2 linked regions of the Struthio camelus genome follow. The protein of the gene in region 2 interacts with the protein of the main gene of each other region in a pairwise test. Links are inferred from orthologs where the notes say so. Each region holds a gene or a part of one and is shown on either strand. Other genes may lie near its edges.

Region 1 (15,517 bases), on a different chromosome or scaffold from region 2:
TTTGAACCCCACAGGTTCCTCCAAACGCCACTGTAACATCCTTGTTTCCTCACCTGACAGAAATTGTTTTCACAAATCATTCATCACATAGAGCTGGCTTCCAGCAGCCACCCCTGCCCCTCTCAGCCTGGGAAAAGGTATCAGATCTTGCAAGGAGCCGTCCGGTCCCACGCTACCTTGTTCATATCTTCCTATGTTCTTTGAACTGATCTCTCACTTTTATTCTTACTTCTGTCCATTTTCATACTTCAACCGCTAAAGTTTGCTCTTTGCAATATTTGCTGTTACCCCATGTGTTTTGCTTGTCCAGTAGACATGTGGCTACACTATGCAAATTGTGTCTAAAATTTTCCCTGCGGCCTCACTGGGTAGCTGATGATTATTCCAAGCTTCACTTACTGATGAAACCACGGTATGAAAGGGGTTCATGAAAGAGCACATACAATCAGAAGCATTTGAGTACAGATATGGCTCATAACCCATCTGTCAGGCAGCCTTTACCAAATGCACGTCACAGTCTCCAGATCACTCTGCGTAAGACCAGAAAACCCACATCCAAATGATCACTGATGCCACAGACAAGCAAAAAGTCTCAAACGCCAAAGGAAAAGCTATTGGTTTATATATAGATATATATATATATATATATAGATATATACTGTGTTTACAGAGTCAACAAGTTAAATGCAATATTCATAAGAGCATTAACAATAAAAATACAATCTGTGTGTAGCCAAGTACAGACTTAAAATGGTAAAACAGGAAAAAGGATCTCACCAAAAGTACAAATATACAGTACAAATTGATTTATTTAAAACAGTTACAAAAAAAGCACAACAAAATAGAGATTATCCTTAGAATTATTAATGCTTTGTTAAAGATCAGGTAGGAAGAAAGGGGCAGGAACAAGGTCGGAGGGGAGCACCTGACTAGTTCTAAGGCTTTAGATACAATGCAGTTGGTTACATGTTAATACAGCCATTACATAACTGGGATTATAGTTGAGGGATCAGCACTTATCTACAAAGACCTCCTTGCCTCAGGGCAGCCCAGCCAGTTCCCCCAACACGACACGTCTGTTTCCCTGCTTTGTGTGGGCAGACCCTCCCCTGGCTCTAAGGTGCCATGAACGTGGAAAGCAACTCGCGTGTGCCTGGGTGCGTTTGCAGGGCGGTGCGGCAGCAGCCTAGAAGGACGTTAGGGGCAAGTTCTGTCCCCCGTGGACAGATATGAAGGCCGTGAAGGGGCCTTGACCATCAGCATGTTAAGCTACACATGGAACACACCCTGGGCCAAACTCTGTGCAAGAATGTGCATTCGTAGCCATCTTAGCAGCTTCCGCAAAGTTTCAGGCCCTAGGACAGACTGAAAGACAAAGAGCAGTTGTGAGCGATGCTAGGGAAAGGCACATGTACTGCTGTGGGCAGGAACTAGCATCTGGGCTAATCATTCATTTAAAACACTTTCTGAGTAACAAGGATTATTAGTTCTCTACTGGGGAAAGTGACTTCAAGTCGGGGGGGGGGGGACGGGGGGACGGGGACAGGGACACTGAATGTGAAAAGTGCATTATACTTGCGCACCTGCTGGGAAGGGGAGGCAGAGGGACCTCTGCAGCTTTCCTCCTTTCCAGACAGAGCTTCCTCTGCATAGTCTGGTAGTGATGAGTGCTCGTCACTCGGAGCAAGTCTCACGTTCCTGGAGGAACAATGTACACATAGCCTAGAAACAGGCCTGGCCTCTGCTGGGCAGCTGACCCAAGGAATGTTTCACGAGATGGAACAGATGGTTACAGATACTCATTATTGCATCCTACAGACTCTTCTCGCAGCCTCCCTGCGAGCTGGAGAGAAGACCAAGGCCAGGAGGTTCCCTCCTCCAGGTAGGACAGACCACAGCTCTCCCTCCTTTCACAATAGCAGCAGGGAAACGGTACATTCCTCCAAGTAGCCTGTCACATCTCTGCCAGCAGAAAAGCCTGGATAACCCACTCATTCCACAATGTCTTCTTAGTTTCATCTCCTCCTTTTCCTGTAAACTTAAGTGAAATAAAAGCCTCCTCCTTGGGCTCACTCATAGGCTCTGCTATAAGCAGAAAGGCTGTCTCACACACTCCCTCTCTCAGGAGAGCCTGAACACTCGATGCAACAACCCTCACCACAGAAGCTGAAGCAACACGGCCCAACCCAGCAAAGACGGGTTCCAGTGATTATGAGTACGGTTAAGCTGGGCCGGAGGACCTCCAGTGCTCCCTTCTCACCTCTGGCCCCTGGGGCAAGCAGCCAGGTGCCCAGATTCTTCATTGCAATACCCCCGCCATGAGATGTGCCCTAACTGTTGCTGCCACGGAGGAGCCGGCAGCTGAACCATGCACAAGGGGACTGACAAGGAGACTGGGCAGAAGCACCAAGGTCAAACTCACCCCGGCCTTTTCTACAGAGCTCAGAGCCGCGCTCCCCAACCGACGCACAGAGAGGCCACAGCCGAGGCCAGCGGCCAGGTGAAAACAAGGGAGAGCACCTGTACAGCCCTTCAGCTGCCTAGGGTACAAAGTTACTTTAGCCTCACAGCAACTTGTCTCATGTGTCATGTCTGCCCTTTCAGACCACTGATTAGTGCAGCTGAGATCTATGACTAGTAGGTACAGCAACACACGAGATACGGCAGGCTCTCCAAATCCTCTCTCTAGCAGACAGAGATTTCTGTGCTCAGAGAGGCACACGAGAGGCTCTGCACCATTCAGATGCTCAAAAGTCCCCTCTACGCATGCAACCAGCCCTTCCACATTCACACGCCATACACAGGTAAGATCCCTTTCTCAGCTGCCTGCCACAGCCTTGAATTCCTCTGCATGCACCATGCAAAGAACAGGCAACAGAACGTGGGCTCCTTTGCTTTCTGCTTGTGGCCACGGACATCCCGGATAGCCTGAGCATTATGTACCAACCGACACTGATTGAGGTCTTTGCGTAGGAGAGTCCAATGAGTAGCAAAGGAGAGACACATAAGGAAGAAGGCGATGCGGCCAGGCACCTGGACCCAGACAGTATGTTTTACTGACAAATAGTGCCATGAAAACAATATCTGTTCCCACCGCTGCTGCATCCAAGGAGGCAGAATCTTCACATGACAACGTCACCGTGACTTTACATTCCCACATGCAGTTGATGAGACTGACTGGAAGCAGCGCGTCATTTAGGGGAAGCTACAGAGGATACAGGCAGCATCCTCACTCTGGAAAAAACCCTGTGAGGCACAAACACTGAAGGCAAGAGCAGAGCACATCTCAACTAAGACCTGAAAGGAAACTGTTCTTCTAGCGCAGGCGTTTCAAAGGCAACATAAGCAGCTAGCAGCATGCTAGGACAACAGGCCTGATGCCCTGGAGGGAAGGAACATTCTGGAGACTCTCTAATTAGCAGAGCACCCCTTTGCCACACAGTCAGTTCCAGGGCACGTTTCTGCACAGTAGACAGAACAGTCGCGAGAGACAAAACCACTACGAGCTCAGCAGAAGGACAGTGACACAGACGGGAGGTGCTGACACACAGGGCGCCCACGCAAGGAGAGAAGCAATGCCCTAACAGCTAGGCACGCCTGACAGAAAAGCTCAGAAAGATGAGAAAAAGGAGACAGCAAATGGGATGCTAAACATCAGGAGCAGCAACAGGAATCTAGTGGGGGCCTGCACGCTAAAAAGAAACCCAACACCCTCTCGCAAGCATGGTCCTAGTACAGAGCCGGGCACCTTAAATACAAGGAATACTTAAACCCAAGTTAAGTCAGAGCGAAGACCCTTCTCCTCAACATAGCAGTGACTTTTTTTTTTTTAATTCTAGCTAAGCATTTAGAGTTGGTGTCATAACACGCTGTCAGAGAGGGCAAATTAGTGTAACTACAGGAACCTTTGCTTGAATGGAGTGTTATTACCATGACGAGGTATTAATATGCATTTGATTCGATCTCACCGTGAAAGAGACTACTCTCGATTTTACCATGTTGTTCTATAGAGGAACTCCAAAGCGAAGCACCAGAACAACTAACAGAAAAACACCTAAAAATGCCCTGTGATGCTGTGATATTTTTAGAGTCCCTATATCAATCACGGAACTGTAATTAAGAGAAGCTTTGTACCTTGCCTGCACATGCACAAACACTTGTCTGTTTTCTAGAGTTTATTCAGGAAACTGCCTGCAGTGAAGAATTAGCCATCTGGAAAGTTTTCTCCTGATTTAATTACAAAATAGTCTCAGTCTCCTCACAGTAGAAGAGTGTGGTTTAGCTTTAGGCCTAAGAGAAGTTTTTTTTGTTTTTTTTTTAAAGGGGTATGAACATGGGAAGAAAGATTTGATTTGGTGTCAAATAATTGAATGTATTTCTTAGCAGGAAACTGACATCTCTCATCCCAACTCATGTCCCATCCCAAGTGCTCAAGTCTTTTCCACAGTTTCCTATTCACCTGCACCCAAACCCATCCTTTTGGTCCTTCCTCTCCAATTTCTGTCATTCATGCAGATCTCTGCAGATTCTTTGCAAGAAGAAAGAACAGTTGGATTCAGTGGAAGAGACATTAAACAGAACCACCAGAGAAGCTTCTACAGCCTGCCCTCAAGAGCTCCATCGGTGAACGGTCCTTTTAAAGTGCATGTGTGAAGAAAGGGGATACTGGGAGTAGTGCCCCCTAAACTCCAGTGGGGACCCATCTTTCCCCATCATGAGAAAGGAGGAATAAAATCTTCAGCAATTTTATCTGCTACCTTAAGCTGTGTCTGCCCTTCTCATCTCCCCACCTATCCTGAATGCTCAGACCCTGCCCTGCAGGGAACCAGGTATTCAGGAAGGTGCAAAGCCCCAACCTCTGGAATGCTCTTGTCACAAGCTCTCAAGCACATCCCCCGTTCTCTACCCCAACTAGCCTGTTGCTGCTCCCTGAGGCACTGGAGCCCTCTCGATTCCCCAAGAGGATCTGGTCAGCGACCAAACTGGAGTAAATCCAGTTCTGCAGGGCAGAGAGCAGCCTTGCTGGTGAACCTGTCACAAAGTCTGTGCAATTTCTCCACCTGATGAAGGTGAGGCTCACGCACAGGGCACGCCCTAGCTCACAGCCTCAACGGGATCACTTCCCTGCATTAGAACGCCCTTCAATAGACAGCTTGACCTCCTGGGGAATGAAAGAGGGACGGAGCAGAGACGGCCGAGGCTCCTCTGCCTGCGTGCTGTATCTTTGGAAGCCCGGGGCTGTCCAGCTGTGCTGACTGCCAGTCTCAGGCTGAGAGGTTTCTGCATGAGAGCCCTGGGCTGCACTGTCCCTTTCTGCGTGGCTCTTCCTTTCAGCAGCTCTGTCAGGTGGTTCTCTGGACCCCTGCGCTGTTCTTTCAGATCTCTCTCGAGTAGATATCAACTGACCTGTGAGAGGGTAGTTAGCCTGAGAAGCAGAGTTGCCGTTCATGCTCTGTAAACTGATTGATATGCAGACGTCGCCCACCTGCAGCCTGTGACAGGGCAGAGCAAAGAGCTGAGCGGTCCGCCCTGGGCTACAGGAGGACCAACCCTGGCCATACACAAAGAAGGGATGCTCTGGGGGCACATCAATGCTCACTTTACTTTGTTGCTCCCCAACTACAAAATGCAACGTGACAAACCCAGGCCACTGGCTGTCCTGAATATCCACCACGGTGCTGGAGTCGATCTTCAGGCCCCCGCTCACCTCGGCACTGCGAACGAAGTCTTGAGTCTGCAGGTCCTCTACCCGCTTCAGCTCTCCTGTAGCCAGCTGGATGATGGCTCCTTTCATGAAGTGAGAGGGCAAGTGCGAGGAGCTGGGAGGCTGCAGTTGGGTCAATTCCTTTTCAAGCATGCTTCCTCGAGCCTGCGCATCTGGGCTCTGCCTCACCAGGGTATCTGAAGAGGAAGACCTGATGGGCTCAGACACAACGGGCACCAGGACTGGCTTGCCGTTGGCTATCACCATTCCTTTGGTTAATTGTCTTTGTCTAACCGTCTCTTCAGGGGACATTACATATGGACTCCTGGACTGGCTTTTCTCAGCAGCAGCCCTTTCCACCGTGCTCCTCAAAACATCCCTTGACTCCCCCTGCTGATCAGGGATGTTATGGCAAAGGTTTATAGGGCTCAGGTCATCTTTCCTCTGGGCTGCCAGAACATGGTAATCCTGAGATGCCAACACCCCCACCACCCTCTGAACCTCCAGATCAGTGTCTGGGGTGCTTCTGTGAGCTGGCACAGAGACCTCTGTTCTCAAAGTCTGGTAACCTGAAAGGAACTGTCCATCGACCACACATCCCACTGCAGTCCCTGGCAGACAGTCTTCAGCTTTACTGCCGGCAGAGTCCACAGCCTCACTGGTCCTCCTCACCACGTTATGCTCCAGATGTCTTTGTCCACCATTGGCGGCAACTGCCTCTGAACTCAGCTGACTGTCTTGCTGAGGAGGATCTGGGCTTCCACTTGCTGTAGGTGTCTCATATGCCGAATACCCTGGTGGGAGGCGGGACATCTGATAATAAACAGGAATTCTACCTGGTGCAATATCTAACGGCTGGGTCCCAGCATGGTGCTGCATCTGGCCAGAAGGAGAAATGGCAGAAGCAGATTTGTTGAAGGTGTGGGTAGGAGAGGTAGTCTGGGGGGAAGGAGCGGCTTCTTCCGTGAAGAGAGAGGCATATGGCACAAAGTGAGGGACGTGAGAGGTGGTGAGGTTGGTGGAAGGAGACAGGAGAGGACTAGGCAGGAAGCCAGGAGGGACAGCATAGGGCACCGTGTAATGGGAGCCGATGAACTGCAGAGACGTCGGGGGGATCTGCGCGTAGTGGATGGGAGGGTAGGGCACCCCTGGGTGCTGGATTAGCGGTGAGGTCACGTTAAAGGCCGGGGGCAAGGGGCTCACGTTCACCACGGGGTGCAGGCCCGTGGGGGAGAAGGTGGCGGGTGGCACCGCCACTTTGTAGAGCATCCCATACTGGTCCACCGTCAGCCCCGCCACGGCCTCTGCGCCGTCGCCAGGGCCATAGCGCAGGGCCGCAGGGCCCGGCCCCGCCGCCCGGCCCCACTCGGGGCCCTCGCCCGAGGCCTGGGCGCCCCCGGCCCGCCCTGCCTCCGCACCCGCGCTGGCAGCAGGCAGTTCCCGCTTCTTGGGCGGCAGGCACTCCTGGCTCCGCTCGTGGCCCGCTCTCATGGCGCCACACGGTGTCCCGGCAGGCCCGGCCGCGACGCTCGTTCATGGGGGCACCCCCAGGCGCCGCCACACGCCAGCTCCCGGATCCCCGCCGCCAGCTGCCGCCTCACCTGCACCGGGAACAGAGGGAGCCGTAAGCCCCGGTCCCCCGCCGGGCCGGGCACCGAGGGAGCCCCGGCCCCGGCTCCCGGCAGGGCGCCCAGAGCAGAGGGGCGGTGAGCCGCGGCCCCGGCGGCAGGAGGGCCCGTGACTCCCGGCCCGGCCCGGCCCGGCGGCGCCGCCACCCCCGGGGCCGGGGCCCCACCCCGCCGCCGCCCGCGGAGCCGGGATGCCGCAGCCGCGCCCGGGGCCCGGCCCGGCCCGCGACTCACCCGCCATCGCCCGGCGCCTCCGCCGCGGCCCCCATCGGCCCCGGCGCCGCCCGCCGCCGCCGCCGCCTCCGGCCCGGGCCCGGGCCCGACCCCTCCCCGCCCGCCGCGCGCCGCGATGACGCGCCGCGCCGCGCGCCGGAAGTGAGGGCGCTCGCGGCCGGCGTGACGTCACGGCGCCGGCGGCTGAGGCCGCCCCGGAGCGCTGGTGCCGGCGGGGCGGGGAGCGGCCGCGTGTCGCCTCGCTGCCGGGCTCGCCACCGCCCTCCTCCGCCGGGGCCGCTCCCGGGCCCGCCGCCGCCGCCGCCGCCCTTGGCCGCTCGTTGCCGCAGGCTGCGCTGCCGGCCCGGCCCGGCCCGCGGCCCCCGCCCGTCCTCCCTTAGCGCGCGCCGCTCTCTGCGGGGAGCGCGGGGGGGGAGCAGGGCGCGGGGCCGCTCGTTCGGCTCCTTCTGCCGCGGTATCTCGTCTGCGAAGCTCCTCTGGCTCCGGGGTTCGGCGCCTCCGTCCGCACAGCGGCGACCTGGAGGCTAGGGCCGGCGAGGGCCCCTCCCGGGCCCCTGTTCGTGGGTGCGCACAGACCCTTCCTCTTCCCGGAGCGCGAACCGGGACAAAGCGTGGCCGCTCCGCGGGCGCGGTGCTTACTGCCCAGCCCGCCCCGCTGCCCGGGCTGCAGCGGGAGCCGCGGCCCGCGCCTCTGCCGGGGCTGCCGCCACAAGGAAACCAGCGCCCGCTGGAGGCAGCGCCGCGGGGAACCGGCAGCTCGGGAACGATCTCGGCAGCCGCGGGCGGCCCTCTGCGCCGGGCCGGGCCGGGCCGAGCTGTGCTCGCCTCCCCCGGGACGGGACGGGACGGGGCGGGCCCAGCGCCGAGCGGACGCGGCTGGCGGCCCCGGCGGGGCGGCGGAGTCACGGCGAGGGGGCGGGGCCCGTGCCAGAGCCCGCCGCGAGGGGGCGGGGCCCGGGGAAGGGGCGGGGCCCATGCCAGAGCCCGCCGCGAGGGGGCGGGGACACGCGGAAGGGGCGGGGCACAGGCCAGAGCCCGCCGCGAGGGGGCGGGGACACGCGGAAGGGGCGGGGCACAGCCCGCAGCCTGCCGCGAGGGGCGGGGCGGGGCCGTGCGCGCTGCCGGCGGCCGCGGGGGCGTCGTGCTCCGCCCTCCCGCGTGCGCGGCCGGAACCTCCGTTCGGGGCAGCGCGACCCGCCCGGCCGCACCACGGGGCCGCGCTCGCCGCGGGGGACTACCCCGGCGCGTGACGTCATCAGTGACGGCCGCGCGCTGACGCGCCTCACTCGAACGCACAGTCTCGCGGATGCTTCCGCCGAGCAAAGTAGTTCCGGGAGCCCGTCCCGCGCCGCCGCCGGTCCTGCGCCGCCGCCGCCGCTGAGGCCGCTGCCGCCGCTGAGGCCGCCGCGGCCCTCCCCGCCACCGACGGCGGCCGGGAGAGCGAGGGCAGAGCGCCGGGCCGCGGATCCCTCCGCCTGCGGTATCGGTGCTGCGGCCGCGCCGCCGCCATTTTGAATGCCTGGCTCCTGCCGCCGCCGCCGTCTCCGCTCCAGGGACCGGCCCGGTGAGTGGGGCCCGCGCCGCCCGCCGCCCCCCACCCCCGCCCGCTGCCGCGCCCGGGCCCGCCCGCTCTGCTCTGCTCCGGTCCCCGCGCCGGGCCGCGCCGCGCCGCCGGTGCCCGCGGCCTGCAGCGGCCCCTGCCCCGGCGCCGCCGCCGGCTTTGCCCGCTCTGCGGGCCGCGGCTCGGCACCGGCACCGGCCTCGGCGGCCTCTCCGCCCTGCCGCGGCCCCCGCCGGCGAGGCCCGGCCCGGCCCCGGCGCGGCCGGCTGCCCGCGCCCCCCGTCCGGCCCCTGCGGGCCGCCCGGTGCCCCGCGAGGCGGCGGACAGCGCTGGCGCCGCGCTCGCGCGCTCGCTCGCTCTGCTGCTCGGAAGCCGTTGCCGACCCCTCTGCTGCCCCCGCCGCGCCCCTCCGGCGCTGGGACTCGGGGTTCCTTGCGCAACTTGTCCGCAGCGGAGCGCGCAGACACGCCGAGGAAGTTCCCTCGGTGGGAACACGGCGTGGCTTCGCGTTGGAGGCCCGGGGGGCCTGGGAAGGAGCTCGGACGTTTGCCTCCGGCCTTCCTCTGGCTTTTTCAGTACTTGTGCTGCACAGCGGCCCGGAGCGTTGCAGTTAGTTTCTCTGTGTCATTCTGACGGTGTTTGCACGTACTCTTACAGTTGCATAAGTTTTAATAGAGGCAAAAACGTCTTGTTTTTGGCCAGAGGCATTTACAGTAAATTGCAAGTACAAGTATAGGTTTGCCCTGGTCGTAGAATACTGCTCAAAAATCTGTTACTAAAGACAGCTTCGCGTCCCTTCTTGAGGGTTGGAGTTCTCCGTTTCCCCTTCTCTCCTCTCTCGAATCATAAGACTAGCTATATTTTTCTGACGCTTTTTGATGTGTGTAGGCATTCTTTTGAAAGTCTGCAGACAGAATGATTTTGTATTTTGTTGCATTGTAAATGATAATTTTTTAAAAAAAGCTTAGTGATGGATTTTCGTTTCTGATGCCTGAATCATTGACAGAACGGCATGGAATCCTGGTGAAACCCTTTGGAAAGGTGGCATTTCACGTGCAAGGCCTGAAAGTGTGTTTGACACCTATTAGCTTAAACAGAACAAAAGACTTTTTTTCCTGTACAGTGCCTTAGAATCTTACATTAAAACCTCACAGGTAGTGTTGTTAGTTTTCTTTATTCTGTTTTGCTTCTCTGCAATAATGTCTATCTCTTGTTTTTTCACGTGCCTACTTCCTTTCTTGTCGCTTTGTCTGAACTACACTGGTTGTCTTTTCTTTTGTTTATTTGCACGTCCCACTCTGCTGCCAAATTCTTTCTTTTGCCCGCTCATGCGCACTGTAGTATTTGGCATGGGATTTGAAAACTTTACTGGATACCTGAGCTCAGCAAAGGCAAGAGATTACGTTTTTCTGAGGCAGCATGCAGTGTAGGTTTCTCTCCTTCCTTCCATGGCAGGAGAAGGAAGGAGGTGTTTAAATTAAGGTATTTAAATTTCTGTGTGTTAAGAAGGAGAAAGAAAGGACGGGATGATTCTTTTGCGAGGGGATCCAGCTTTTCTTTCTTTGTGCATAATATAACTTTTAGATTTCCTCCTCCTTTTCATAGAAAGAAGAACATTCTCTTCTACTACTCCTGTTAATCTGACTTTTTTCTAAAGCTGATACAGTAAAAGTGGACAGGTCCTTCAGTACCTTTTCTTGCTGTGTCCTGGCCAGAGATTAAGGAAGATAAGATGTTCTGATTCTTGATAGTTTCTTTGTGCACAGAGCTTTGAATTAGCATCAGTGTAAACTAATGATATCAGTAAGCTTGACACGCGATGGTGTAGAAAGGTTGTAAGCGGCAACACAGGAATCGAAGGTCTCTGTTGAGGCATGCAGACAGAGACTGCGCTGGTTAATGCAGTTCAGGTTTGGAAAGCTGGCTTTCAAAGTGCAAAGGCTAATAAAAACCTTAGCTGCTTCAAGCAGCGCTCATTCAGAAAAGCTTCTTGTGCCTCTTTTTGTTTGAATACTTATGTTCTTATTATTGAGTTGGCAATGTATGTAACTTCAGAATGTGTTTTGGAGATGGGCTGCTTGTGTTCTTAATAACAGGGCAAAAAGCTCTTCTGATTGAAAGTGATATTAATTTGTTCTATGTGATATTTTGGCGTGTTCTGGGGAAAGGGGTCTAATCTACCTTGGTAGTAGTATTACTTTATTGGATGAGGTAGTAGTATTACTTTATTGAATGAGGGTTTTGAGGTTAATAAAGTAAATATGTGATGAGTCTTATTTAAATCTAGCCCAGGTTGCTATTACTCAAAAGTCAGAGTTACTGTAGCGTGCGCGCAAATGAATCTCTGCTAATATAACAAATAGTATTATTAGCCTTAATTGCAGTTTGGCAGAGATGCTCGAGGTGAACTCTAAGGTTAGAACTTCCTAGGACATGGGAGAAGTTACCTGAAGATATCACAGAGTTTGTGTTAATGCATGTTTTAAAAAAAAAAAAAAAGCAGCTATGTCTCATCTTTCATCTGGCATTAACTCTGTAAAGAAATATTTTTCTTTTCCATAATGTAGTAGCAAACAAAAGATTTTATTTCTTTTTTGGAAATCTTAAGTCTGCAAGAGACTGAACAGGAAATAAAATAACCAGATTACCTTACAGATAAAGATAGTTGGGATGCTGGAAGCAGATGAGAAAGACAGAGGTAATGCAGGTCAGACATGACTGAAGTATAGGAACAGGAACCAGGAAATCTATGTTGTCTCTCACACTGATCAGCTGTGTAGGACTTGTTAACTCTTCTCCCATCCCTTGATTTGTTAGCCTCTAAAAAAGAGGACATACTTATTTGCTCTTTTGGTAGGCGTTAGAGGATAACTTTTGCGATGACTTTTCCAAGGGCCAGAGACGCTCTCCTTCTCCCCTCAGTTTCTGAACAGCATGATGGCTTGTGCCTCTGGAATACTCTTGTGCTACGTTTCTTGATTTTAAAAGTAACTGGAAATAGTACCGTCGCTTTCTCTGACACTGTTTCTCAGATTTTGTTTTTAGGTGGGTTTTTTTCTTCCGTTTTTTCCCCCACGCTATCTTTGTGTAACGCGTGTTACTTTGCCTTTTATTATCATACTGTATTTTAACACCCTCCTCCCCGTTTATTTCTGGTTTCTCAATGTTACTTATTTTCCATGTTACAAGTTTCTCTGTTCCATGAAATAGCTATTTGTCAAAAGCGATTATTTTTCCACTTTTAATGTTGTATGATTGGTTGCTTTTCCTGTTAACTCTTTCTGTTGTCTTTGCCCTTCTTGATGGTGACCATGCTCCTTGGTTGCGTGTTTACCATTTCCTGTATAAATATTGATAGCACTAAACAATGTACCAGTAGCTCTAGTATTTTTCTTCACAACTTAATCCCTATTTGTAGTATGTATTTGCACTTCTGTCCTTACTGTCAATATATAATTTTTTTGAAGGGTCTGATCGTAGAATGAAGCATACTGATAGCAGTGTGGAGGTGAGGCCATCAGTCAATTTTAATTAACTGTTGCAGTTACTCCCCTCGTACAGTCTAGGCATGTCTTTCCGTTTCTGCACAGGAGGCTTGATTCAGTTCTACTGAAGCAAGCGGGGGAGTTCTGTTACTGATTTCAGTGGGAGCTGGGTCAGGCTTTAATTATGCAACTTCCGAAAGTCTGTTTTTGCTTGAGGAGTACGATTGCTTATGCATGAGTTGGGGTACAGCAACTTAATTCATCTATTTTAGATTTGTTTGAAAATACATGCTTCTGCAGTCTTGGGTTGCTTTTTAGAATGAGCCGAGTTCAGAAATACTACTTTCAGGAGGCTCTATTAACTGCATATATATCTCGTTTGGATTGCAATTGAGAAACATTTCCTCAAATGGTAAAGCTGTTTTATGAATAATTCCAGGAGCCTCAGCAGGTCTTATGCCTTATTGCTTCCAGAATTCAAGAGTAAATAATAATGGAATTTAAAAATGCTTGTGACTGCTACATTGAAAAAAAAAAAAAGTTGCTTAACAAGGCTGTTCATTTCATTAATATATTGAAAGTGTGATTTCAATATTTTTAGAGATATGCTGACATTTCTAAATACATTCCAGAGGGTAGGATTTCAACTTAATTGAATGTTTAAGGATTGTAAGTCCTTTTAACTTTACATACGGTTCCTGGTAGATGAATATAATTTAGCTGAAGCACTTGAGAGTTGTTTACATGTGGAATTTTGGTAATTTCGGATGCTGCTTGCAAATATCACAGAATCACAGAATGGTTGAGGTTGGAAGGGACCTCTGGAGATCATCCAGTCCAACCCTTCTGCTCAAGCAGGGTCCTCTAGAGCACGTTGCCCAGGATCATGTCCAGGTGGGTTTTGAATATCTCCAGGGAAGGAGACCCCACAACCTCTCTGGGCAACCTGTTCCAGTGCTCTGTCCCCCTCACAGGAAAGAAGTTCTTCCTCGTGTTCAGACAGAACTTCCTGTGTTTCCGTTTGTGCCCGTTGCCTCTTGTCCTGTCGCTGGGCACCACAGAGAAGAGCCTGGCCCCATCCTCTTGACACCCTCCCTTCAGACACTTGTATACATCTCATATTGTATACAATACATCTCATATACCCTCAGCCTTCTCTCCAGGCTGAACAGGCCCAGCTCTCTCAGCCTTTTGCTCACGTGAGAGATGCTCCAGTCCCCTCCTCATCTTTGCAGCCCTCTGCTGGACTCTCTCCAGCAGTGCCATGTCTCTCTTGCACTGGGGAGCCCAGAACTGGACACAGTACTCCAGGTGAGGCCTCCCCAGGGCTGAGGAGAGGGGCAGGATCACCTCCCTCCACCTGCTGGCAACACTCTGCCTCATGCAGCCCAGGATCCCATTGGCCTTCTTGGCTGCAAGGGCACACTGCTGGCTCATGCTTAACTTGTTGTCCACCAGGGCTCCCAGGTCCTTCTCTGCAGAGCTGCTTTGAGTTCCCAACCTGTCCTGGTGCCTGGGGTTATTCCTCTCCAGGTGCAGGACCCTGCACTTGCCTTTGCTGAACTTCATGAGTTTCCTCTCTGCCCAACTCTCCAGCCTGTCCAGGTCCCTCTGAATGGCAGCACAGCCTCCTGGTGTGTCAGCCACTCCTCAGCCAGTTTAGTATCATCAGCAAACTTGCTGAGGAGGCACTCTGTCCCTTCATCCAGGTCATAACTGTAATATCTAATAGAGGTATTTTATATATATATAAATATATATTTTGGTTATCAATTGTATTTGGTTATCAATTGTATTTGAGTATTATGGTGCTCTAAGAGAAATTTTTAGCAAGATTCTATAGTTAAATCTCTTTGGCATGCTGACCTCTTGAGTAAAAACTGAAAATTTGAAACAACACATGCTGAAGTACTAAAAGACTATATAATGGGGAGAAAATAACCATTTACACTAAATGTTTTTAATATTTATATTCTAATTTTTGTTTTCCTGATGATAATGTTTTCACTTGTGCATAGTTTAATAAGATGAGTTGGGTAAGGAAAGAAAGCCTTATTTGTTTGTTTGGGGGAAGAATTCATGAACAATAGAGGGAAGATAACTGAGTTAACACCTTTCATGACATCCAGAGAGTAAAAGGAAAAGCTGAGAAAAGGTGTGTGTGTGTGGTTTTTTTTTTTCCCCCAATTTTATTTATTTATTTTGTAAAGGCACCATGTTTCGGAACAGTCTGGCCTTGACAGTAGGTTACTCAAAAGCATGTAAGGCCTTGGAAATGAGAAGAGGAAAATAAAAATCCTCCACCTCATCAAGTCTGTGTTTGACCCTACCAGATTTTGTAAATATTAACTGCAAGTTTCTTTCCAGGTATTCAGGGACCATCCCTAAATTCTAGAGCTTGCAGTTAGTAAAGAAAAGGCAGAGGAACACAGCTGATGTAAGCAAAATGAGGAAAGAGATAATTACTTTTAAAACTTGCCTTGTCGTTTACATTAATGTGTAAAGAATAAACACATATGGCTGTACTGGGGGAACATGTTAACTAATCCTGAAAAACAAGACCTGCTACTTAGAGGGAAGTTCTCAACTGCTTTTAGCCAGCTGAAGTTAAACTTGGAGTCTGTTATTCCCAGACAACGTGCTTATCCTCTCTCTGCTAGTAAGTCAGTCATCTTGTGCAATAAAATGCATTTCTGTAACATAGAGAAGCACTTAACAATTCTTTGTTCTTGACAGTTTGGTATTTGATTGCTTTGTAGTTGTCACCTGAAGTTGACTTAAATTTTTCAAACGCTTCATAGACATTCTGATTTCAAGACAGAAATTGTGTAGTCAAAAATGAGTAGATCAGTTACTAAATAAGTTTTAATTGTTCTTAGCTCTAAATTCTTTAATCCCGTTCATC
Region 2 (15,368 bases):
ATATGGTCATGAAAACAGATGACCAACTAATTTTATTTTCTTGTTTTTATTTGCAAAACAACTCTCCCTACAACCTGTCCTCTTGAACAGTTCTTTTCCTTCTGTAAAGTCGGTTAGTATAGCACTGTATTGACTCATCTACAAACAGACAGTGAAAACGGAGAAGGGGGAGAGGGAAGGGGACTTCAGCATGAAAGAATTAAGAAATTTGATCTTCAGTGAAGAATACTTCAGGGTTACTGCTAACCCGACAAAGGCTGCAGCTCTCAAACGCATACAAAATTATTTAAGAAAAAAAAAAAAAAGCCACATCACAAAAAGAAGAGTCTTACAGTCTTTTGCCAAACATCTTATATTTAGGTCTATATATTAAAGAATGCCCCTTTGTTTTCCCCAGACGATTAAAAAAATTGGTAGCTTACTGTAAACACATGCAATATGAAAACTTTTAAAATATCTTCCTATGCTTCAGGAAATCCAGAATTAACTGAAATATGTATTTTCCTTTTTTTTTTTTTTTTTTTTTAGAAAATGTATATACATTTTAGATTCTTGGACTCAATTACTGATTCTAGGCTGACTTGTACTGCAAGTGCAACTCAAGTAACTCATCTGATGCACAGCAGAATAGACAGTGTCACGGGTTGTTCAACAGTGACTGCTCTAAAAAGTTAAACATTGATGGGCTCTGGACAAGTCCAGTTAAATCTACTGGAGACTTGATTGCTATGGGGCAACCAGAGAGCAGAGGAGTTGAAAGAAGGCAGAGAGAAGCCAGGTAAGGCCATGGAGTGTTCTTTGTACATGGTACGAAAGGTAACAGTTAAGTTTAGACAACTTAAACATACCTTTTATCCTAAAAATAAGGTTTACCTGCTCCTACTTCTTTATCTTCTGAAAGTTATATAATTTAACAATTGGCTGAGTTTTGCCTTAGATCACAGACATTTACTGTTTTTGCAAATCTAATTATCTTCACTAATTACCATAACCTACACCACAGATGCAACACATTTTAAAAGTTCAAAGGACTAAGACCGTCAGTTAAGACTGGCCAAACTTTCAATACATGAAAATAAGTTGTCAGAAACCAGACCTAAGGAAGCTTTTCAGCCTTTTCAAATTTCAATTAAAATTGGGGGGGGTTAAGCAAATATTTTCTGCAATATTCTCAGAGACTGATAAAATGACTAACGGAACTGAAATCCAGTTTCCCTCATCATCTCAACTAAAAATGGAAATAGGGCATAACTAATGAGAGGTAAACTGATTTTTCAGATCACTTCACCTCTAATAACCCATGCTAGTAGCTATACATGCTCACGACATGTTTAAGTTTGCAGCACCTGTGTAATTTTAACATCATTTTTAACAGTAAGAAAGAGGTTCCAACGTCATTTCAAATTCTGGCTTCAGCTTCTACCTCTATTTACCTTCTCAATATTTAATCCATCTTAATTTACTGGAAAACTCCATTAGTTGTAGAAGAATAGAAACTGATGATTTCTGCTACTGGGGAGGGTGATAATAGCTGAATGACTGGGAAAACTACACAAGGCAAAAAAAATGCAATTTATTTCTTGCACAATTAAGTGTTTAATTAGATTATTTATTTTAAATGCATTTACTTAAGTGAATATAAAATTACAAAAAGCTTTACAAGAGACTTATCTACTCTCGTATTACTTTGACCTTAGCAAGAGTTATCAGATAGGGCACTAAAAGTAGATCATTTTCATCTTTGATTGAAAAACATAACATCAGCTACGTCAGTAACTTGGTAAGCAGCAGTATTAAGAATTAGGATCTAATTCACCACTTCAAGTTCCATAAGAAGGGGAAACGACAGCTCCTAAATTTAAGGCACTCCAAGGTGCCCATTACTGCTTTTCCCCTTTCCTGATGTGTGACAGAGGCTTAACTACCACATTGAGTAACACTGCCCAGCACTTTCTGAATAAAGACGCTGCACAAATGTCTTCAGTAATAGAGATTCTTAGTAATACTGGCACACAGTACACATACGCAAATTCTTTGATACAGCTGTATACTGTACGCTTAAGGGCCTTTTAACTTTCACTGAAACGCAAAAAAGTATACGAATGCTTGTGTTTGTTGGGTGCTGGCTGACTTCTCTTTTTTCTTCCATGTCCCCATTTATTTTTTTTAAAAGTTAAAAATAGAATTAAATACTGTTCCTGCCCCCAAAATTTTATGCCAATATTTGCAGCTTTACAATAGCTTTTATTGTCTAAAGAGATGCATACACACTGCAACTGTGAAATCCATGTTAAAAAAACTGATGACAACTACACACTGGCGGGGGGTGGGGGAAGGCACGTTCTCCCTTGGTATTTATTTCTGCTCTTGAACTAATCTGTATTTTTCCCTCATTTAATTCCTCCAGGGCTGCTACTACCAAGAGAGTTACAAATAATCATATGATCAGACTCCTCACATGCATCTGCCAATCCTGAGCTCTGGTAAGTGCACTGGGATTTTGTTCAAGGAAATGCCCGCACATATAAGTTTGCCAGTTGGTGGACCAGGTCATTTACGTCTTTGACCCTTTCTGTAGCCAACAAATTGCTACTGAGTTGTGCAAAGGCAGGGCAGTGAGGAGACTAAAGTCAAACCCAGACACTGCTGAGGAAGCACGGGTGATGAAGATGACAAATACAAGGGAGGCATGCGTGGGGGAAGAGTCTGATCCTCTCAAAAGCAAGCCAAACTGATTACTATTAAGAAAAACAACTATCAGCTGCCAAATCTCATGCTGCTTCCACATTACACACATTTCCCACCTCTCTGTACATTTCAATTGCCTATTATTTGGTAAGGACACTATGTCTTCCTTTGCATTTTCAAAGTTGAGGTTGGTTGTTGCCACAAGCTGGATATCAGGAGTGCTGTCAAGCACACAGACTACAGGAATAAGAACAGTTTCTCCTTATTTCCCTCAAAATTACAGTAGTCTCGCAGGTTACTCCTAAAGCTTGTTTGTAAAATAGTTTTGGACCACAACAAACTTCTTCAGTACATATTCCTTTAATTTCACAACTGAAACTGCAGCTGAGCTTCCCAAGACCTTTTCCTTCTTAGCTGAGAGCTACATACCTCTCAGGTTTCTGGGATGTATCTGCTTTGTCCGAGGCATTTTCCTCTAATTTCATATACCCCTTTCTCCTCAGAAATGAAAAGTAGAGCAAGCAGAGAGCTGGCAGTTCCATAAACTTGTCAAAGGAGTCAGTTAATCCATGTGCTAAAAAAATAAAAATAAAAAAAGAAAGAGAGAGAAAGAGATAAAAGTTATGAGATGTATGCATAATAAGGAAAATCAAAGATATCTGTCTGCTCTCTTTCATCCTAAAATGGCTACAGGAACTGGTGATAAGCAATAAAAACTTCTATACCTATCCTGCACAGAGTGAAATGTTCCAACATTATAAGAAAATTAAATGAGGGTCAAACTCCTTTTGGGGTTACTCAGGAGGCACGAGAAGTCTAAGACATTTTTCCACATTTGTCAGCTGTTTTCTAGCCAGAAAACATTTTCTAACAACTTGTGTCCTGTGTAAAAAAAAAAAAAAAAAAAAAAACCAAACCTCACAAAACAAAACAGTCACATTAGGCTTTAAAACAGCAGATCTTCATTTGTATAGAGGGGGATAGGGGAGGGAGGGGAAGGGCAAACACATGCTGCATCAGCAATCATCTCTCCCATTTGCAACATCAGCCATCTCCACAGTATCCTTACTTGAAGTGTGCAATTGTAACAAGTCCAGAAGAGCTCCCCAGGGGACTCTACTGAAATATCAATTTACAACACAGACTCACACCAGCTCTAGACCCATGCGCAAGTCGTTGCAAAGCGAGCTCCTGTATCGGCATGCAGCAGTCCCTGCATTTACACAACGGTGCAGCCAGCAAAGTCTAAGTATGCATGAACTTCATGGAAGATGGAATTCTTTTAACAGCCTAATGGACAGATTTTCTACTGAAGGGGCACCAACCTAAATTTGCATCCCCAAACCTCCACTTTTCCCCCCCTCAAGATTAACAAAGTGTATTATTTTTTAAATATGCTTATGATTTACTTCCCATTTAAGGAGTACGTTGTTTAGCTTCTGAAATCTTCCTGTACTGAAATCTCCCTCTGAACTATAGTGAGCCACTTGCACTTAAGAACTTAAAAAGAAGAATGACTAGTGCGATTCCACTACTTTGGCCAAACAACACTACTCGCTTACTATTCATAGTAATACCAACCCCGACTGAGAGCTTTCTTTGAATCAACACCAGGATAAGTTTTTTTAAATGTATATAAACCATACAGTGGCCCTTAACATGGGCACATTGACAAAGGATAACTACTCGAAATAGGAAGCACGTAGAGCCTTCTATCATTTAAGTATTAACTCAGAGTTCTGATCATTTCTAATACAGACAACAATGTTTTTGAAAAAGCGGAATTCAAAACCACTCAAAATAGACTGTTGCTTACAACCTCCCCTCCAGTCTACAGACTGTTGAGGAAGATAGTCATTAATTTTTAACGTTTCTTTTGTCTATTGCTGCATAAAAGACTCAAGAGAAGAAACTGAGTAGCGCTGTCACAAAGGAAGGCTGGCAAATATTTTTCTGACTAATGGTTCTTTACTAGGATATTATCGCGTTAAGGGGAAAACAAGAAAAAAGCCAGAACACCACACAGAGGGCTGTCAAGTTGTTCACACATATCACTTCATCTGCAAAGATACCAGAAAGATTTAAAAACGAAAAAAATCTTACGCTAACAGTTCCAATTTTCTAGTCTTAGACACAAACTCTAAGTGTGCAGCAGCGGCCAAATTACTTGAAGCAACAAGCACCTCCGAAGCCCTGTTTTGTTTTGCTGGGAATCCTGGGTCTTGTGCTGACATCCTCACAAATAATAAACGCGGTCACTTAGGTAAGCTATTTCAAGCAGACGGGTTTGAAACGCATCAGATATCTGTAAGTCGTAAGCACCTCCTGATGCTCCCTCGCAGCACAAATGACATCTTATTTACGCTTCAAAACTACCTATTCCACCTGGTCACCAGCAGTATGCTTTTGCAGAGGGATGGCCCTACGAAAGCCACAGCAGAAATACTGTAGGAGACCCGCGTAAAGTCGCTGCCTCCTTGATTTCAATAATCAAAAAAAAAAAAAAAAAGGAGAGAAAGAGAGAACGAGCCCTCCGCAATCACGGCGGTCACATTCCACCCCCATCCCACCTCCCCCCCGCCAAAAAAAACCGTAGACTACGGAACAGACCGACCAGGCGGAGGGACGGCTGCAAGCGCAGAGCCCGAGGGACCCGTGAAACGTCGGTATGTGCGAGCACTGTTGCAAAGGGAGGAGGAAAGGGAAGAGAGCGGGGGGGGGGGGGGGAGGGAGGGGAGGAGGGGAAAAAAAAAAAAGCATGAATGAATAAAGAGGGAGGAGCCTGGGAAAACCCCTCTGCAACGCTGCGCCGAACAAAGCGCTGCACGCGCGGGGGAGCGGGGGGAGCAGAGCGGCTGCAGCCCGGCACCCACCGGCCGCGGCGGGGCGGGAGGAGCCGGGCCGAGCCGAGCCGGGCCGGGCCGGGCCGCCGGCCCCCGCCATCCCAGCACGGGGAAGCAAACAAGCCCGAGCGCGGCGCTGCCTACCTGGGGCGGCGGGGGGCTTCGGGCACCCCGGCAGGAGACGGCGCGCACGCACACGCGTGGCAGAGCGGCCGGGCCGGGCCTGCCTCGCCCGCCGCCTCCCCGCTGCCCGCAGGACACGCTGTGTTGTGTCTGCCGCAGCTCCCCGCGGAGGGGGCGCAGACAGCCGCCGAGGAGGAGGAGGAAGGGGAGGGAGGAGGAGGAAGCGAGGAGGCGCCCGGCCTGCCCCCCCCCCCCAACACCTCCCTCCCCGCGGGGCGCCAGGCCGCGGCGACGCGCCCCCCCCCGCCGCGGACCCCGCTGCAAACCTGGCGGAGGGGCCGGCGGGCGGCGGCTGATGGCGGCGCGGGTGCGAGGAGCAGCGGCGGCAGCCGGGAAACACGGCGACCCCTGCGCGGCGGCGGCGGCGGCGGCAGGGAGCCTCCTTCACTTGACAACCTCAAACACAAACATGACCCTGCGCTGCCGCCGCCGCCGCCTCGCACACACGCTCACACCCCTCCTGCGCGCAACATCCCCCCGGCCCGGCCCGGCCCAGGCGCCGCCCCCCCCCCCAAGCACTGCCCCTCTCCACACAGCCCCCCGTCACCCACGGGCAGCGCTGTCCGTCCGTCCGCCCCCTCTGCGCAGACCCCTCCCCCGCCGCCGCCGCCGCCGCCGCCGCGGGGCTCCCCCGGGCTCCCCCCGGGAGTCGGGCCCCGCCGCCTGAACTCCCCCCCCCAGCGGGTCCCCCGACACCGGGTCCAGCGCGGCCCCGACCATCGCCGCTCCCCCCCCCCACCACCCCCGCCCCGCGGGATCTGCCCCCTCCCCCCGCGGCGAGGCGGCGGGGCAGGGGGAAGGGGGGGAACAACGAGGGCGGCGGGGGAGGGAGCCCCGCTGACAGGCGGGAGGGGGACGGCCGGGAGGGCTGCCTGCGGCCCTGGGCGGGGGCGGGCGGGGAGGCACGGGCCGGCTCGGCGCGCCCGCGGGGCTCCCCTCGGGGAGAGACGCTCCGCTCCGCTCTCCTCCCCGCGCCCCTCCCCCCCGCGCCCCGGTCACCCGCGGGGGGGGTGGGGGAGGGGCGCGAGGCGGCGGCGCGGGGCCGGCCGGCCGCGGGGGGGGGAGGGGAGGGGAAGGCGGGGGGTGTTTTACCTTCTCTCACTTTCTATTGCAGGAAGCGGGGCCGGAGCAGTGACGTCACCGGGTCTCCCGGCCCCGCCCCCTGCCGGCGCGGGCGGGGGCGGGGGGGTGGGGGGGGAGGGGTCAGGCAGCCGGGAGGGAGGGGTCACCGAGGGGGTTTCCTCAGCGCCCGGCGGGGGAGGCACAGAAGCGAAACTCGGAGCACAACAAACGCCGCGCCAACGTTATTCCCCGTCGCGCACACGCACACGCGGCGCTCCCTCCCTGCCTCCCTCCCGCGGCGCGGCTCCGGAGCCGGGTTGGGGGCGGGCGGGGGGGGGGGGAAGCGGCCCCGCGCCGCGCCGTTGGGGTCGCCGCGAGACCCCGCCCCCCCCCTCCCGTCCGCCGAAATAACCGCCGCGGCCTAACGCGCCCGCAGCGTGCGCGGAGCCCGGCCGGCTTGGCGGCTCTCCTCACGGCCGCGGGGCTCCCGCCAGCCGCGGGGGCGGGGCGGGGGGGGGACACGGAGCCGGGGCTCGACCCCGAATAAAAAAGAAGTTACCCCGCGCCTGTTCCCCTTCCCCCGCTGCCTGAGTGTGTGTGTGTGTGTGTGTGTGCGTGAGTCGCGCTCCCCCCTGCAGCGGCCCGGCCGCGGCACCGGCACACGGGCACGCACACGTAGGCACACAGCCGCTGAGGCGGAGATCCCGGAGGTGCCTCCCGCCGCCGCCGCCGTTGACCCCGGCGGCTTCCCCGCGGCTCGGCGGCGGCGGCGGCGGGCGCCCTCCGCCCCCTCCCCGGCCCCGCGGCACCCCGGCGCCGCCGGCGGAAAACTCACCGCCACCCCGCGCATCCTGCCGCAGCCAAACTTTTCATACCGGGCGACAAAAGCCGACGGCAAATCCCCCCCCTCCCCTCCCCTCCCCTGCACGGCTGGAAGTGGGCGGGGGAGGAAATACGAGGAGGAGGCGCCTGGTGCTCTCCGCCGCGGCGCCCCTTTTTTGGCCCGGGCCGCGGGTTTTTGCCGGTTGGGGGCTGTGCCGCCGCCATTGGTTTCCTGCATCAGCTGCTCTGTGCGCGGCGCTGCGGGGTCGGCCCGCCCGGGGCCAGCGCCTGGCCCGGCCCGGCCCGGCCGCGCTGCTCCTGCCGCCCCTGCGGCCCGCTGCCCCGGGCGCCTTGGCCCCGCTACCTCTGCCCTTGCCAGCCCGACCAGCCCCCGACCGAGGCCTGCCTTGAGGGAGCGTGACCCCTCTCGCCAGAGATTTTTGAATTTTCCGGAGCGCCTGCCCTCATTTAAACCGTTGCAGGTTTTCATGAGGTAGCCGAGCGCTTTTGTCCCTCTTTTACGGGTCAGACACCACGGCAGAGTAACTCCTGCAGAGCTCGTCCCAGACGCGACACCGCCTCTGACAGAGCTTTCGGCCGAGATCACAGCCTCTGGCCTGTTTTTCCCCTTGAGCTCACTTAAATTCTCCTGGAAACCGGTGTGCCGCGATAGCGGCAAACTCTGATGTGGGTAAGCTTCTCTCCCTCCCGCCCCAGAGCTGCTCACGACGTGGACGGCACAAGTAAGCACGCAGCCCGTCGTCGAAGCACCTGGCTGTTCGGCACGCTACCTGGCAGTCAGCGTAAGAGGCAGGCTTCGTCAAAAGTTTATTAATTAGAGGTTTATTGGAAAATCAGACCCTCAAAGAGCACCGTATTACGGTACCCTTCTTGTTAGACAAGAACCAGGTGAACTTCTTAGTAGGAACTTTGCTTTTTTCTTCCACATCTACCCCTGGCTTTGAGGTCTAGAGCTTTGACTTGTTAAGCAACAGAATTGCCATTAACCTGAATACATTAATATAAATATAACCCTGCAGGTGCCGTAAGCTTAAATGAAGGTACCAAATCTGACTGGTCACAAACCTGAGATCAAGTGACATCTCTATTTGTTTTATTCAGCTCTCCTTTAGACTCTGTCCCACTGATCTTTCCTTAAGTCTTGCTCCTTCCTATTCTACTTGTTGTCTGAAAGCTTCAGGCTGTTGTCACCCCCTTCGTAAAGAAGCTTCAGAGGATGCCCTTCTGCATACGATGGCTGAGAAAAAGGATCCATCACAGCTGCTGCTGGTGCAGAGGGAAGTTTTAGGTGCCCCCTCTTTTTTGCAAGGACCTGGATAAGCACAAAGCAGCAGCTCTGATGTGCTAGTTGACACGAAGCGCAACAGCAATCCTCCCAGAGCTGGGAGCAAACTGTCCTTCTACTACGAGAAGTCAAACTACATCCCATCCGGGAGCATGAACATCCAGTCCTCTTACTGCGTGGGTACGCACAGGAGTATAATAGGCATCCTTCATCTGCAAACAAGCACAGTTGTCTGACAAGAATGACTCATGAGGTGTCAAAGAGGAGGCAAGTCCCCAGAGACACATGGAGCACATCAAATCAGTGCGCGCTGATCAACCCTTGAACATAGTAACTGCGATCTGGAGGTTAGTTTGGGTCAGAGAAAAAACAGAACTGAAAGTCCGGCCCATGAGGTTATTCCCACTGTGAATCTTAAGAAGCAGTCTAAGAGGCAGCTATGAGCTGGTCACACACCTTAGCTTGCTCAGCTCTAACGTGCAGGTGACAGGGAGGGTCCAAAGAGCGGTCTCTGCCCCAGCTTGGTATCCCTCCAGCAAGCTCATCTCCGTAGGGGCAGAAAAATTCAGTCTTGAAGGTGTCCCTGGGAAAGCCAGGTGTAAGATAGCGTAAGAATCTGTTTATTGCCTTGCTGTGTAAGCTTGGAGACCGCTTCATCTTTTTCTGTTTTTCCATCAGTAAAAAGGAAGTGCGTACCCACTCAGTAAAGTACTTCAGGAAAAGTACTACATATGATTGCTAGTAGGAGGCGTATAGTAATCTTCTCAAACCTACAAATGAGGGAAACTTAAAAAATTTTCACCAAGACCTAGAATGCCACATCAACAGGCACATTGAAAATATCCTGCACAGCAGAATTTAGATACTTCACAAATTGCATCGAAAATTAATCCTACGGGATAGAGTTTCCCTTCAAAGGAGTGTGTGTTTTGGAAAGGGGAAGATTATGAAGGACTTTTTTTCTTCTAAAACTCCACTGCATTTTCAGGAGGACACCTATTTTTAAACACCCTCTAGATTTACACTTGAAACTCTGTGCTCAGAAAATGGCATATAATGGCTCACAGGTATTTTATGTATAAATATATACACATACACACATTAGGCTCTCAAGAAACCATGATACAGTAGGTACTTTTAAATAATTCATTGTTAAGCACCCCATGATAAATCTCTAGTTGAATAGTATGTGACTTTGCTAGGATTCTTGGTATATACTGAATGTGAAGCACTGTGGTAAATTTAACTATATTGAGCATCAAATGTGAAGATTTTTTATATTGAAAATTACACCCTGACACATAACTGAGAATCTTTGTTGTTAAGGCTTCAGGGAATTTTTGAGGGAACTTCTGAAGTTCTGAAAAAGAAAGAAAAAAAACCACACACACAAAGCACTATTTCTGTATAAAAGTTGAAATTTTCTCAGAGAAGGGAAACTCCTTAAATAGTCTGTGTTGAATTAACAGAACAATTTTCTTAAAAGAATTTCTATCTCATCGCTCATCCTCTGGGGCTCCACACTCGGTATGATCCAGCCTGAGGATCCGGGCTTAGTTGGTGTGAGCTAGTGCTCAGAGCATTTCCATGGCTGTCCCTGTCCCACTGTGGGCCGGAGGCCCTGAGAGCCGCCAGGCTCCAGGTCCCCAGCAGGGAACTCAAAAAGCCCAGCCTGTGACTGCTCTTCCTCTGACAGACAGACAGAATTTAGTTTTGCTAGTCCAAAACTGAGGAGTCCAGCTGCTCTTGCTGCAGACAGCACGGGGCTCTAGAATGGGAAGCCACGAGAAAGCAGAGAGTGAAAAGCCTTAAAGAGCTGGGTTTGCCGCTCCCGCAGGCGGGGCAGGAGAGATAGGGCAGCAACCGCTGCTACTGGGGGACGTCATTTTCCACTTTTTTCCAGCAATAACTGTCACCCCAGATACTCACATCTCTCCCTTGTCAGCAACAGCCAGATGCTTTCCCAAACGGAGGCAAAGACAACAGCAGGGATACGGCTGCACGCCACTCCCTGCAGCCTGCTGCTCTGTGCATACAGCCAACCCAGGAGGGACATCTTGCACGGCAGTGTCCTGCCCCCAACGCTAAGGCTATCCAAAAGAGGGGTTGTTTTTGTGTTGTCCCAGAAATTGGTTCAGTTCTTCAAACCTTCTGGTTTGGACAAACTGCTGTTTTGTAATCAAAAAATGTTCTGTAGAAGACTTTTGGCCCAAACTTACTTTTTACTTTTCCCATATACCAAAGCTGTGCATGAAGTCACTGGGGCAGCCCCTGCAATAGAGTGGACTCCTGTGGCCAGAAAAAAGGTGCATGACCCCAAAGCTGGACAGACCTGAAAGTCCAGTATAGGGCACAACTTACTGACAGTACTTGAAACTTTTTCAAAATATTATTAACCAGACATTGAAATCCCAGACATTAAGTGAACTTGTTGAGCACTGATGACAAATCTACTTATTTGCACCTCATTCTTCATTATCATATCAAAATGTCTCAGATGAGAGTACTTATGTTTAAGATACTATGCGAAAAACCATTCTGGCGAATGTTTGTCCTTCTCTGTCCTTGAAAGAGCCTTGACTGCTGCAGCGTTATCTACATTTAATCACAGGAGAGCTTTCCCAGCAACAACTCCTCCAGGTGGAGGAAGCAATGCCTGTTCTACCTAAACTACCACTGCAGCCTGACATCAGTTTTCTTTTCTCCCAGCACATGAGGCTTCACATGGCTGGTTCCAGGACAAAAGAGCGGCCACAGAGCAAGTGATCACTGTGGGGGAGACCTGCTAGCAGAATCTCTTTGAGGTCTCCTTTGGTACCACGAGCCCTGGTCACCCCGCAGTGTCCTGCTCATGCCCACACCCGCACATAGGAGATGTGCAAAGTCCAGACCTTCCTGCAGAGAAGTACGGTGAGGCCGAGAGCAAGTCTCATCGTTAGCACTTTGCAGGCTGGCTACGCTCCCTGCCCAGCAATACTCTCTATGGCAGTGTGGCAAAGTCCTTAGAAGAAAAAGAGGGGGAGAAAAAAAGAAAGAAAACAGACCAGTTAAAACACCACCATCTTTTTCACCAGAAGTCTGCCCCAGGGGCTGGTGTAAACAGTACCCATTCTGTTGCTGACCTGCACAGTAGAGGACAAGGAGCAGGCTAGCACATTCTTGTGCAATGAATGCCTTGGACTCAGCTCTCTGCGCATCCAGCTGGGCTTTGTGGGACATGCCATTAGGGCCTTTTCGGGGAGGAGATGTTGCCACTCCGCATTACAAGATATGGGATGGAGGATCTGGGAAAGGCTCATCTGTACTGCAGGCTATAATACTGCTGGCGCTGTACTAAAGGGCTGAGCAGGCTCGAACTCCCTTCCCTCTCTCCCCAGTTCTGGTGATGGAGCTCACCCAGAGCCCTGAGCAGTCTTGTGTCCAAACCTGAGGCAAGTTTGAGCTTGAGCCGGTGCTCTGGAGTGAAGGTAGATGTAGCCATGAGAAGCAACTTCCACAGCTTCTGGCATTTAAAATTGCTTCTGCCTTTTCAGAAAGGATTGTTTCTCTGTAACTCAGCAGGTTCTGCAGTTTTACAGCTGCTTTACTCTCTTTCACTGATGCATTTTTACTCTCAACAGAGCTGAACAGGTTTCTTGCCGTCTCTGAACTTTTGCACAAAGTTGCTCATATTTTCCACTGTATCTTCTTCACCTCAGCTCACTGGTTCACTCTAATCTTTCTTTTTCAGTAGCTCTAGGTCTAAACAGTTCATTTAAATACAGTGTGGTTTGCCAGCAGTTTTTGCAAATACTTTTATTTTATCTTTTAAAGAAACAGAAAACACGTGCACTTAACACATTCACCTTGCCAAGATGTTTCCTGGGGTGTGCTTTCTCTTTTTGTTTAAGTTCTTCGGTAACTGTTTTATCATATCTGAATGATTAAAAAGCATTTCATTCAGGGGATTCTTTTGGAAGTATTTGTGCTGTTCAATGGCATTCCACTGTCAGGTTTGCCATAGACGTATATAGGAAATATCTTTTAAAATACCCCATTCTGAGCGCGTAAGTTAGTTTAGCGGCTCAAAGGTTGCAGGGTTAGCATTATTTTGCTCATTTGCTTACTTTAATTATCTCTGAAAAGGTGCCCTGCTCCTCCCCTCCCCCCAATATGGATGGGCATACAAAAAATTTCAAAAGTATTGCCATTCTATTCAAAATCTCTGACAAGCTAAAAACTTCTCTGGTTACTGGGATATTTACTTTGCCAGTCACACAGGAAATTGGTAGGCACAGATCAACAAAAAAACTTCAGGTTGCCTTAGCCCTGTTTCCCTGTCTGCAAAATAGCTTTCAGGGAATACATAGCATATTTTGCAAGGGTTGCATCACAAGCCAGACATATAGCACCTGTTGTAAGCTATGATATTTCTGTCATTTTAAGTCGTTCAGTCCCCCCTAAATCCAAACAACCACACAATAAGTAAATGTATGTTTTTGCTCTGAACGATCTTGCTGCCTTTCTGTTAATAGCTTTGCTATGTAATTTTCCCTGTTTGTGGGGCCTTCTAAGAAATCAATTCCTCCAGCTGTGGCCAGTGATTTTGTTAAACCTTTCTATTTTTTTAAACTAAAGCTTTCCTTTTAAAGCTCCACAGGTCTAACAAGTGTCAGGCTCCCAGTGCTGAGGAGTGTAGAAAATTTCAAAATAAATATTTGCAAATGAATGCATGTTGAAAGCAGGGCACTTGGCAGTCTTGCAGCTGTCCCAAAATTTCACAAGGCCCACACTGTAAAAGCTGTGGATGTCATTTTCCAAAATGCTATCACATCCACATAACTGTATCCCATGCCCATTTTCACACACAAATAAACAAATACCTAGACGAAGTAAAAGAGAGGGGAAAAATTAGGCATAAGAGAAGAACAGTGATACAAATAAGATACCTGATTCCAAGTTAGCTTGTCACTTCAGTAAGTTGCACTGACAAAAAGAATATTTTAGTTTCAGTATCTCACAGAATGGATGAAGGATGCCAGGTAGTTGATGAAGTCAACACCCAGCCATGTGCTCTCACTGAGCTGGTGCTTGCACCAGGCTGGAGTGACTGCCTCATGTTTGGGCTCCTGCAGGTCCAGTTGTACCCTGTGCCCCTTTCAGCAAGTTGCGCCATGGGTCTGGCGCATCTCAGGTTCAGTTGTTAAGGTCCCTTTCTCTGAAAAAGGGCAACAAGTTTAAAAATTGACTGTATCTTCTATTTAAGCAGTGCGATACCTGAAAAGGCAGCACCAAAACATATTCCAAGCTTCAACAGCGGCCTCAGAGCTGCTTATCTGTTGGCTTAAGAAGTGGCATGACAAAAAGAGCGTATTTCCTTTAGAGGTGAATCACTCCCCAGCTCCCTCTTTATTGCAAGCACTGAGGCCATTTGTATATCACAAAAATATAGCTTATATTATATTTTGATCAAATTGTGAAAGAGCTATACTGATGAATTAAATGCATGTGTGTGCGTGGAGAGGAGAATCTGACACAGATGCGCGATTAAGCTTCCAGATAAGCTTACATGACAAGGCAAGGAAAACTGAAAGTTAAGATGTCAATTCCCCCACCAGTTTAAATTGGCATAGTTCCACCAAGATACGCAAATGGTGTTATTGCTATAGGAATCCTACCAGAGGCGGGAAGAGCAGCTGGCTGGCCCATAAACCTCCAAACAAGGCACACACACCCTTCTTAAAAGTACTGAAGTTGGCAGGGGTGACAAGAGCACAAGTCAATACTCCACCAGAAGAAATCAAGCATGGAATCCAGGCCTGCTGAGATGAAAAGATCCAGCTGCACGAAGCGATGCTCGGCACGGATAGGAGAGAGGAGCCTACAAAGAACAATGCAGTTCCCCGAAGGCTTAGGACACCAGCATGCAGAGAGGGAAAGGAGTATAGCACAGCTGTCAATCCTTTTCTAGAGAGCTATGCCTGGTGGGATAATTCTGCCCGCACATATCTTCAGGAAAGAATTTGGGTGGCTGTTAAGTCCAACTAATGCCAGTGAGTGCACTTTCAGAAAGACACAGCATACGGTAAAGGCTTCTTGGATCAAGTTTTATAGGCACTGTTTGAATGCGTGAGTTATTCCATTGGCTTAGCGAGACCGCTCACGCGTGAAGTGCCTGACTTTCTTAATGTGATCTCAGCTTCTGAATGCAGTAAACTTCAAGTGAAAAAGTGAACGTTACTTGAACAAAAAAAGTTAGTAGAGGTTGAAACATAGCTGAAAAACCCCATCTCAGGCTCCATTTTGTGCATCTGATCCTGCAAACAGCTCGCGTAATGTGACACTGAGATCAATGGGGTTACTAAGAAAACCACAGGTTATGCTTTTTGTTGAGCCAGAGGCAACGCATGCAAAAATTAAGAGCCAATTCTGCAACGCATCACTAAGCACAATCTCATTATCAAGACAGTAGTGCCATTTGGGTC

The links.
Region 1: the proteins of HIVEP1 (region 2) and ATXN1L interact in a two-hybrid assay, tested with the Homo sapiens proteins (2 studies listed by BioGRID). The link is inferred for Struthio camelus from reciprocal best matches to the Homo sapiens genes HIVEP1 and ATXN1L.

What each region holds. Positions count from the first base shown.
Region 1 is NC_090951.1:440,589-456,105, reverse strand, and holds ATXN1L (ataxin-1-like), read right to left. Parts: upstream 7,647-15,517; 5' UTR 7,567-7,646; intron 7,306-7,566; 5' UTR 7,196-7,305; coding exon 5,117-7,195; 3' UTR 3,043-5,116; downstream 1-3,042. UniProt on the Homo sapiens protein: Chromatin-binding factor that repress Notch signaling in the absence of Notch intracellular domain by acting as a CBF1 corepressor. Binds to the HEY promoter and might assist, along with NCOR2, RBPJ-mediated repression.
Region 2 is NC_090943.1:100,773,542-100,788,909, forward strand, and holds the start of HIVEP1 (zinc finger protein 40), read right to left. Parts: upstream 7,781-15,368; 5' UTR 7,612-7,780; intron 6,827-7,611; exon of another isoform or gene 6,807-6,826; intron 6,232-6,806; exon of another isoform or gene 5,981-6,231; intron 5,905-5,980; exon of another isoform or gene 5,676-5,904; intron 5,368-5,675; exon of another isoform or gene 5,299-5,367; intron 3,263-5,298; 5' UTR 3,158-3,262; coding exon 3,118-3,157; intron 1-3,117.